2 linked regions of the Xenopus tropicalis genome follow. The protein of the gene in region 2 purifies or fractionates together with the protein of the main gene of each other region. This does not show direct contact. Links are inferred from orthologs where the notes say so. Each region holds a gene or a part of one and is shown on either strand. Other genes may lie near its edges.

What was found.
Region 1: the proteins of kat7 (region 2) and brpf3 purify together in Homo sapiens (affinity purification with mass spectrometry; 3 studies listed by BioGRID and IntAct, counting the BioPlex papers as one, with this or other methods). This does not show direct contact. The link is inferred for Xenopus tropicalis from reciprocal best matches to the Homo sapiens genes KAT7 and BRPF3.

What each region holds. Positions count from the first base shown.
Region 1 is NC_030678.2:65,005,950-65,009,602, forward strand, and holds part of brpf3 (bromodomain and PHD finger-containing protein 3), read left to right. Parts: intron 1-2,304; coding exon of another isoform or gene 2,305-2,322; coding exon 2,323-3,653. UniProt on the Homo sapiens protein: Scaffold subunit of various histone acetyltransferase (HAT) complexes, such as the MOZ/MORF and HBO1 complexes, which have a histone H3 acetyltransferase activity.
Region 2 is NC_030686.2:14,504,489-14,508,884, reverse strand, and holds the start of kat7 (histone acetyltransferase KAT7), read right to left. Parts: upstream 2,919-4,396; 5' UTR 2,803-2,918; intron 1-2,802. UniProt on the Homo sapiens protein: Catalytic subunit of histone acetyltransferase HBO1 complexes, which specifically mediate acetylation of histone H3 at 'Lys-14' (H3K14ac), thereby regulating various processes, such as gene transcription, protein ubiquitination, immune regulation, stem cell pluripotent and self-renewal maintenance and embryonic development.

The sequences.
Region 1 (3,653 bases), on a different chromosome or scaffold from region 2:
TTGATAGGCTGCTGGGGCCAAATGGGAAGGGGGGGTGGGGTGACACCACTCAAACTTACAGTGCAACAGTAAACAGTGACTGAAGTTTATCAGAGCACTAGTTATATGACTAAGGGCACCTGGGAAACTAAGAATATATCAAGCCCCACGTCAAATTTAAAACTTGAATACAAAAAAATCTGTTTGCTCTTTTGAAAAATTGATTTCAGTGCAGGATTATGTTAGAGAAGCGCTGTTAACTGATTAATTTTGTTTTATCTTGACAGAATCCCTTTAATGTAGAAGTGAACTTCAAGTTATTTTAGTCTCAGTTGTTGCTACAGTAGATATTTAAAATTTGTATCATGATTCTGAAAGTATTTGTTTATGAACAAGGTTACTGTTTGTGCCGAAACACCTACTATGGATGTTCCAGACTTAGCACCTGTCTCAGGGCTGTGTTTGTTGATTATGGTATCTGTGTTAAACTGTTTTGGCCCACCTACATGTATATCTGTACATATGTTTAGAACTTTTAGTTTATCTGTTTTGTTGATACGTATACTTTATAAGATGAACACAAAGAGGGAAAACTCCATGTAGAAAATGTTTTTATGGTAATATATTTATCCATACCTAATCTATTTCCTGCATAAGGGCCGAGTTTTTTTATTCTTTTTTTTTTTTCTCACCTTTAGCTGTATTATGCTACTCACTTAATTTTTCAGGATTCATTGAGGTCTGGCATGGTGCCAAGAGACTGGCGGATTGCTAATGTGGTGCCGTTATTTAAAAAGGGATCCCGTTCTCAGCCTGAAAACTATAGGCCTGTTAGTCTGACATCAGTAGTAGGAAAACTTTTGGAAGGGGTAATAAGGGATAGGGTACTTGAATACATTGCAGTTCACAATACTATTAGTTTGTGCCAGCATGGTTTTATGCGTAACAGATCTTGCCAGACTAATTTAGTCGCCTTTTATGAGGAGGTGAGCAGGAACCTTGATGCTGGAATGGCAGTTGATGTCATCTACTTGGACTTTGCTAAAGCGTTTGATACAGTACCTCACAGAAGGTTAATTATCAAATTAAGGAATATTGGCCTAGAACATAATATTTGTAATTGGATAGAGAACTGGCTGAAGGATAGAGTACAAAGAGTGGTTGTAAATGGAACATTTTCTAATTGGGCCAGTGTGGTTAGTGGAGTACCGCAGGGGTCAGTCCTTGGGCCTTTGCTTTTTAACTTGTTTATTAATGACCTGGAGGTGGGCATAGACAGTACTGTTTCTATTTTTGCTGATGACACTAAATTGTGCAAAACTATAAGTTCCATGCAGGATGCTGCCGCTTTGCAGAGCGATTTGACAAAATTAGATAACTGGGCAGCAAACTGGAAAATGAGGTTCAATGTTGATAAGTGCAAAGTTATGCACTTTGGTAGAAATAATATAAACGCAAACTATCTACTGAATGGCAGTGTGTTGGGGGTTTCCTTAATGGAGAAGGATCTAGGGGTTTTTGTTGATAACAAGTTGTCTAATGCCAGGCAGTGTCATTCTGTGGCTACTAAAGCAAATAAAGTGCTGTCTTGTATAAAAAAGGGCATTGACTCAAGGGATGAGAACATAATTTTGCCCCTTTATAGGTCCCTGGTAAGGCCTCACCTTGAGTATGCAGTGCAGTTTTGGGCTCCAGTCCTTAAGAAGGATATTAATGAGCTGGAGAAAGTGCAGAGACGTGCAACTAAACTGGTTAAGGGGATGGAAGATTTAAACTATGAGGTGAGACTGTCGAGGTTGGGGTTGTTCTCTCTGGAAAAGAGGCGCTTGCGAGGGGACATGATTACTCTGTACAAGTACATTAGAGGGGATTATAGGCAGTTGGGGGATGTTCTCTTTTCCCATAAAAACAATCAGCGCACCAGAGGTCACCCCTTTAGATTAGAGGAAAGGAGCTTCCATTTGAAGCAGCGTAGGTGGTTTTTCACGGTGAGGGCAGTGAGGTTATGGAATGCCCTTCCTAGTGATGTGGTAATGGCAGATTCTGTTAATGCCTTTAAGAGGGGCCTGGATGAGTTCTTGATCAATCAGAATATCCAAGGCTATTGTGATACTAATATCTACAGTTAGTACTAGTGGTTGTATATATAGTGTATGTATGTGAGTGTATAGATTGGTAGGTGTGGGTTAAGTGTGCTGGGTTTACTTGGATGGGTTGAACTTGATGGACACTGGTCTTTTTTCAACCCTATGTAACTATGTAACTATGTAACTGCATGTTTGTTTCTCTTATCTTCTCTCTATTCTAACCTGACTTCTTTCATAGGTATTGCCTTCCACTGACATGAGAAACCCGCGTCGTAAATTTCGTCACTGTGGTGGTGGAGGCAAAGGATCACCTTCCCCCTACAGTCTGAAATGCTCTCCAACTCGAGAGACATTAACATATGCTCAAGCACAACGCATGGTGGAAGTTGAGATGGAAGGGCGTCTTCACCGAATTAGTATATATGATCCTTTAAGAATTGTCTCGGAGGATGAGCTAACTGCGCATGATATTATAGAATGCAACAGCAACAAAGAGAACAGTGAACTGCCTCTTGCTTCCCCATGTCGAAAGATGGCCTTTAAAAGCAAAAAGCACGAGCTATGCCCTAAGCAAGCTCAAACCACCTCTTCCCTCCAGCTTCCCCAGCCATGTTTTAGAGTTATTGAGCCTTTTAGTCTGGAAGTTGAAAGTGAACCATATTCTTTACCTGATAGCTTCTATTGTTATATTGAACGTTCAACAAAAGAGATGGACCAGGAAGTTGAATATGACCTTGATGAAGTAGATCTGGCCTGGCTGGAAATGATCAATGAAAAGCGGAAGAATGACGGATTATCTCTGGTGTCAGCTGATGTCTTTGAACTTCTGTTAGATAGGTTGGAGAAAGAGTCCTATATGCAAAGTCGTCGCAGCGGTGCACCACAGTCTGCTATTGATGAAGATGCATTTTGTTGTGTTTGTTTAGATGATGAGTGCCACAATAGCAATGCCATATTATTTTGCGATATCTGCAACTTGGCTGTTCACCAGGAATGTTATGGTGTACCATACATTCCTGAAGGGCAGTGGCTTTGCCGATGCTGCCTTCAGTCACCATCAAAACCTGTAAGTTGTGTGCTTTGCCCCAACCAAGGTGGAGCTTTTAAGCAGACTAGTGATGGGCGATGGGCACATGTGGTTTGTGCTATTTGGATTCCAGAAGTTTGCTTTGCTAACACAGTGTTCTTAGAGCCAGTAGAAGGGGTTAACAACATTCCATCTGCTCGGTGGAAGTTGACTTGTTACCTTTGCAAACAAAAAGGGCGTGGGGCAGCCATCCAGTGCCACAAAGTGAACTGTTATACAGCTTTTCATGTGACATGTGCCCAGAGAGCAGGTCTTTTTATGAAGGTAGAACCTGTTAGAGAGACTGGTTTAAATGGCACCACGTTCACAGTACGTAAAACTGCTTTCTGTGAGCTTCATTGTCCACCAGGTACACACAAAAAAGGAATATTGAGATGTGGTGGCAAAGTAGACAATAAGGACAATGGAAAGGAGGATGAGGCCAACAGAGAGGACAGTAAATTTTCTAAGAAGGGAGCTGGGAAGAGAGGACGGGAGAAACAGAAGATAAAAAGAGAGCA
Region 2 (4,396 bases):
TATGGGAGATAGCTCTCAGTACAAGTGAGGGAATACAGGGGTATGGGAGATAGCTCTCAGTACAAGTGAGGGAATACAGGGGTAGGGGGGATAGCTCTCAGTACAAGTGAGGGAATACAGGTGTAGGGGAGATAGCTCTCAGTACAAGTGAGGGAATACAGGTGTAGGGGAGATAGCTCTCAGTACAAGTGAGGGAATACAGGGGTAGGGGAGATAGCTCTCAGTACAAGTGAGGGAATACAGGGTTAGGGGGGATAGCTCTCAGTACAAGTGAGGGAATACAGGGGTAGGGGAGATAGCTCTCAGTACAAGTGAGGGAATACAGGTGTAGGGGAGATAGCTCTCAGTACAAGTGAGGGAATACAGGGTTAGGGGGGATAGCTCTCAGTACAAGTGAGGGAATACAGGGTTAGGGGGGATAGCTCTCAGTACAAGTGAGGGAATACAGGGTTAGGGGGGATAGCTCTCAGTACAAGTGAGGGAATACAGGGGTAGGGGGGATAGCTCTCAGTACAAGTGAGGGAATACAGGTGTAGGGGAGATAGCTCTCAGTACAAGTGAGGGAATACAGGGTTAGGGGGGATAGCTCTCAGTACAAGTGAGGGAATACAGGGGTAGGGGGGATAGCTCTCAGTACAAGTGAGGGAATACAGGGTTAGGGGGGATAGCTCTCAGTACAAGTGAGGGAATACAGGATTATGGGAGATAGCTCTCAGTACAAGTGAGGGAATACAGGGTTAGGGGGGATAGCTCTCAGTACAAGTGAGGGAATACAGGGTTAGGGGGGATAGCTCTCAGTACAAGTGAGGGAATACAGGATTATGGGAGATAGCTCTCAGTACAAGTGAGGGAATACAGGGGTAGGGGAGATAGCTCTCAGTACAAGTGAGGGAATACAGGGGTAGGGGGGATAGCTCTCAGTACAAGTGAGGGAATACAGGGGTAGGGGGGATAGCTCTCAGTACAAGTGAGGGAATACAGGGGTAGGGGAGATAGCTCTCAGTACAAGTGAGTGAATACAGGGGTAAGGGAGATAGCTCTCAGTACAAGTGAGGGAATACAGGGGTAGGGGAGATAGCTCTCAGTACAAGTGAGGGAATACAGGGGTAGGGGAGATAGCTCTCAGTACAAGTGAGGGAATACAGGGGTAGGGGAGATAGCTCTCAGTACAAGTGAGGGAATACAGGGGTAGGGGAGATAGCTCTCGGTACAAGTGAGGGAATACAGGGGTAGGGGAGATAGCTCTCAGTACAAGTGAGGGAATACAGGGGTAGGGGAGATAGCTCTCGGTACAAGTGAGGGAATACAGGGGTAGGGGAGATAGCTCTCAGTACAAGTGAGGGAATACAGGATTATGGGAGATAGCGCTCAGTACAAGTGAGGGAATACAGGATTATGGGAGATAGCGCTCAGTACAAGTGAGGGAATACAGGGGTAGGGGAGATAGCTCTCAGTACAAGTGAGTGAATACAGGGGTAAGGGAGATAGCTCTCAGTACAAGTGAGGGAATACAGGGGTAGGGGAGATAGCTCTCAGTACAAGTGAGGGAATACAGGGGTAGGGGAGATAGCTCTCAGTACAAGTGAGGGAATACAGGGGTAGGGGAGATAGCTCTCGGTACAAGTGAGGGAATACAGGGGTAGGGGAGATAGCTCTCAGTACAAGTGAGGGAATACAGGGGTAAGGGAGATAGCTCTCAGTACAAGTGAGGGAAAACAGGGGTAGGGGAGATAGCTCTCAGTACAAGTGAGTGAATACAGGGGTAAGGGAGATAGCTCTCAGTACAAGTGAGGGAATACAGGGGTAGGGGAGATAGCTCTCAGTACAAGTGAGGGAATACAGGGGTAGGGGAGATAGCTCTCAGTACAAGTGAGTGAATACAGGGGTAAGGGAGATAGCTCTCAGTACAAGTGAGGGAAAACAGGGGTATGGGAGATAGCTCTCAGTACAAGTGAGGGAATACAGGGGTAGGGGGATAGCTCTCAGTACAAGTGAGGGAATACAGGGGTAGGGGAGATAGCTCTCAGTACAAGTGAGGGAATACAGGGTTATGGGAGATAGCTGTTAGTACAAGTTGATCCAGGGACTGGTCCGATTGCCATCTTGGAGTCAGGAAGGAATTTTTTCCCCTCTGCGGCAAATTAGAGAGGCTTCAGATGGGGTTTTTGCCTTCCTCTGGATCAACTAGTAGTTAGGCAGGTTATATATAGGCATTATGGTTGAATGTGATGGACGTATGTCTTTTTTTCAACCCAACTTACTATGTTACTATGTTACTAAGGGTAATGGTGTCACCTGTGTGAAATTACCTTTTCAGTAGGGATATGCCATTAATTATAAACATTGGATTAGCCCTGTGCCTGCGGAGGCATGAATTCTATTGCTCAAACATGCTCAATGCAAGGGATTTTCAGTATTTTATCACAGCCACTTGCTAAAAGCATTCTCCATATATCTCAGAGTATTCTGTATCTCAGCGAATATGAGGCATGCAGATGTATTAAAGCGATAGTTCACCCTTGCATTAACTATTAGCTGATAAAACCCTATTCTTTTTAAAATGGTCATTAACCCCAGCAAGAAGTTGTATTCTACGTATCTTTCTATCCATGCCTCAAGTCCCTGGTTCGTAAGGCAAATGGGAACCTAACCACATAGCTGCCCGTTTCCAAAATGGAGAGCAACAGAAAAATGAAAATGATTTCTCTGTGAAATAAATTATACTCAGATGTACTTGTACGGGAATATACACCTGTAACACTCCATGTTATACAAACAGCTGAAGCAAAACACTGAATGTACCTCAATTAGGTTTCCATGCTTTCCAACACTGCTTCCTTACTTCCTTTGTTTATACCACGCCCTTAATTATCGGCAGCCTATAGAAAACCTTGCAGTGATCGCACAAACCAATCCAACGACGGACTATAGCGGCACCGACAGGAACAACATACTACAATAGCGACTGCTATTAAACCACCTCAACCAATCAGTAACGAGAGGAAGGCGGGACCAGCAAGTAATTGGCGCGCATGAGAATCAATGAGGCGCCAGTCCTGACAGACATAAACTGCGTCCAATCCACAGCTGCACAGAGCACATTTCAGCCAACCACAACATAAGATGGAACGCAAGTATCCAATCGCCGCCTCTCACGAGTTAACCCACAACAGGCCTTGGTTTGACTGTATCTCTCACATGGAGGCTGCTGCAGGCAAAGCAAAAATAGCGCCGTATGCTCTGCACAATAGCCAGTGCCTACACGCAGCATTCTTCCAGTGCAGTGTCCAGAAGAGGCCCACGCCACACCAGGGGCACACGCCCACCCCCATACGCAGCTTCCATTTTCCTATCCCATGCATCTCACCTTCCTCCGGGGCATCGCTTGGCGCTCCCCCCTTCTCCCTTTGATCCCGCCCAGCACAACCGAATTCGCGGTTGGCGCAGAACGGGCTTTTTCTTGCGCCGTCTCCGGGTAACGGCAGAATGACGCGCAGGCGCGGCCCCTCCCCTTGAGTCAGGTTTCTCGCCCTGTGCATCGCGTACGCACCCGGAGCCCCTCCTCCTCACCTCTCACTCGCTATTGTCTCTCCGTGGGAATAGCCCCGCGCATGCGCAGAACATGGATCTGCTCAGCCCGTTATACCAAAAGGCAGTCAACTGGCTCCTTGTGTATCCATGCGCATATATCTGCCGGAACTATATGTTCTTATATCGCAATATTATTGTATAGTTGGTGTCTTTTCCAGCCATTGATTCACAGAACCCTGCAGTCATAACTTAGAGCAAGAGAGGGGCAGGGCAAACTGAATTCCTGTGGGAACAATGTTGTTTATCCCTGGGATAGCACGTTGGAGATGATAATAACTACAATCTCTAGCATATTGGCTGCCAATATGGAAGCTCACTCGCAGAAGCCTATATTATCTTTAAAGTGAAATAATCATGTTTTCTTTCTTATTAATAATAAAAAATAATGACAACTTCTGGTATTTCTTAGTAAAATATTACAAGGCAATAGGTACTCTTGGCTCAAGGCAACAAGCACCATAGTGCCTCAGAAAAAAGCTCCTTGGCAACTGTCGCCAGTGTAACGGTGTGGTTTTACCCAACACACTTTCTTCTTTGCAAGTTTTAGAGTGGTTGTACCATGGTGCCTGGGCAATTGCTGCATAACATGTCCCCATTATAACTGTTTTTTTTTTTATTTTTTATCCCGAGGTCAATGCTTTCTGTTCCTAAGTGCAAAATCACATGTGCACAAAGGGTGCAAACTAGCCAGTCCTAAAATGGACAAGGCCACCATACTCGATTCCCACAGGCCAAAAGGCTCAGGTGAAAAAACGAGTCTTCGAGTCCTCCTTTGCTGGGGGGGGGGCTTAATCCCTGACCAAAA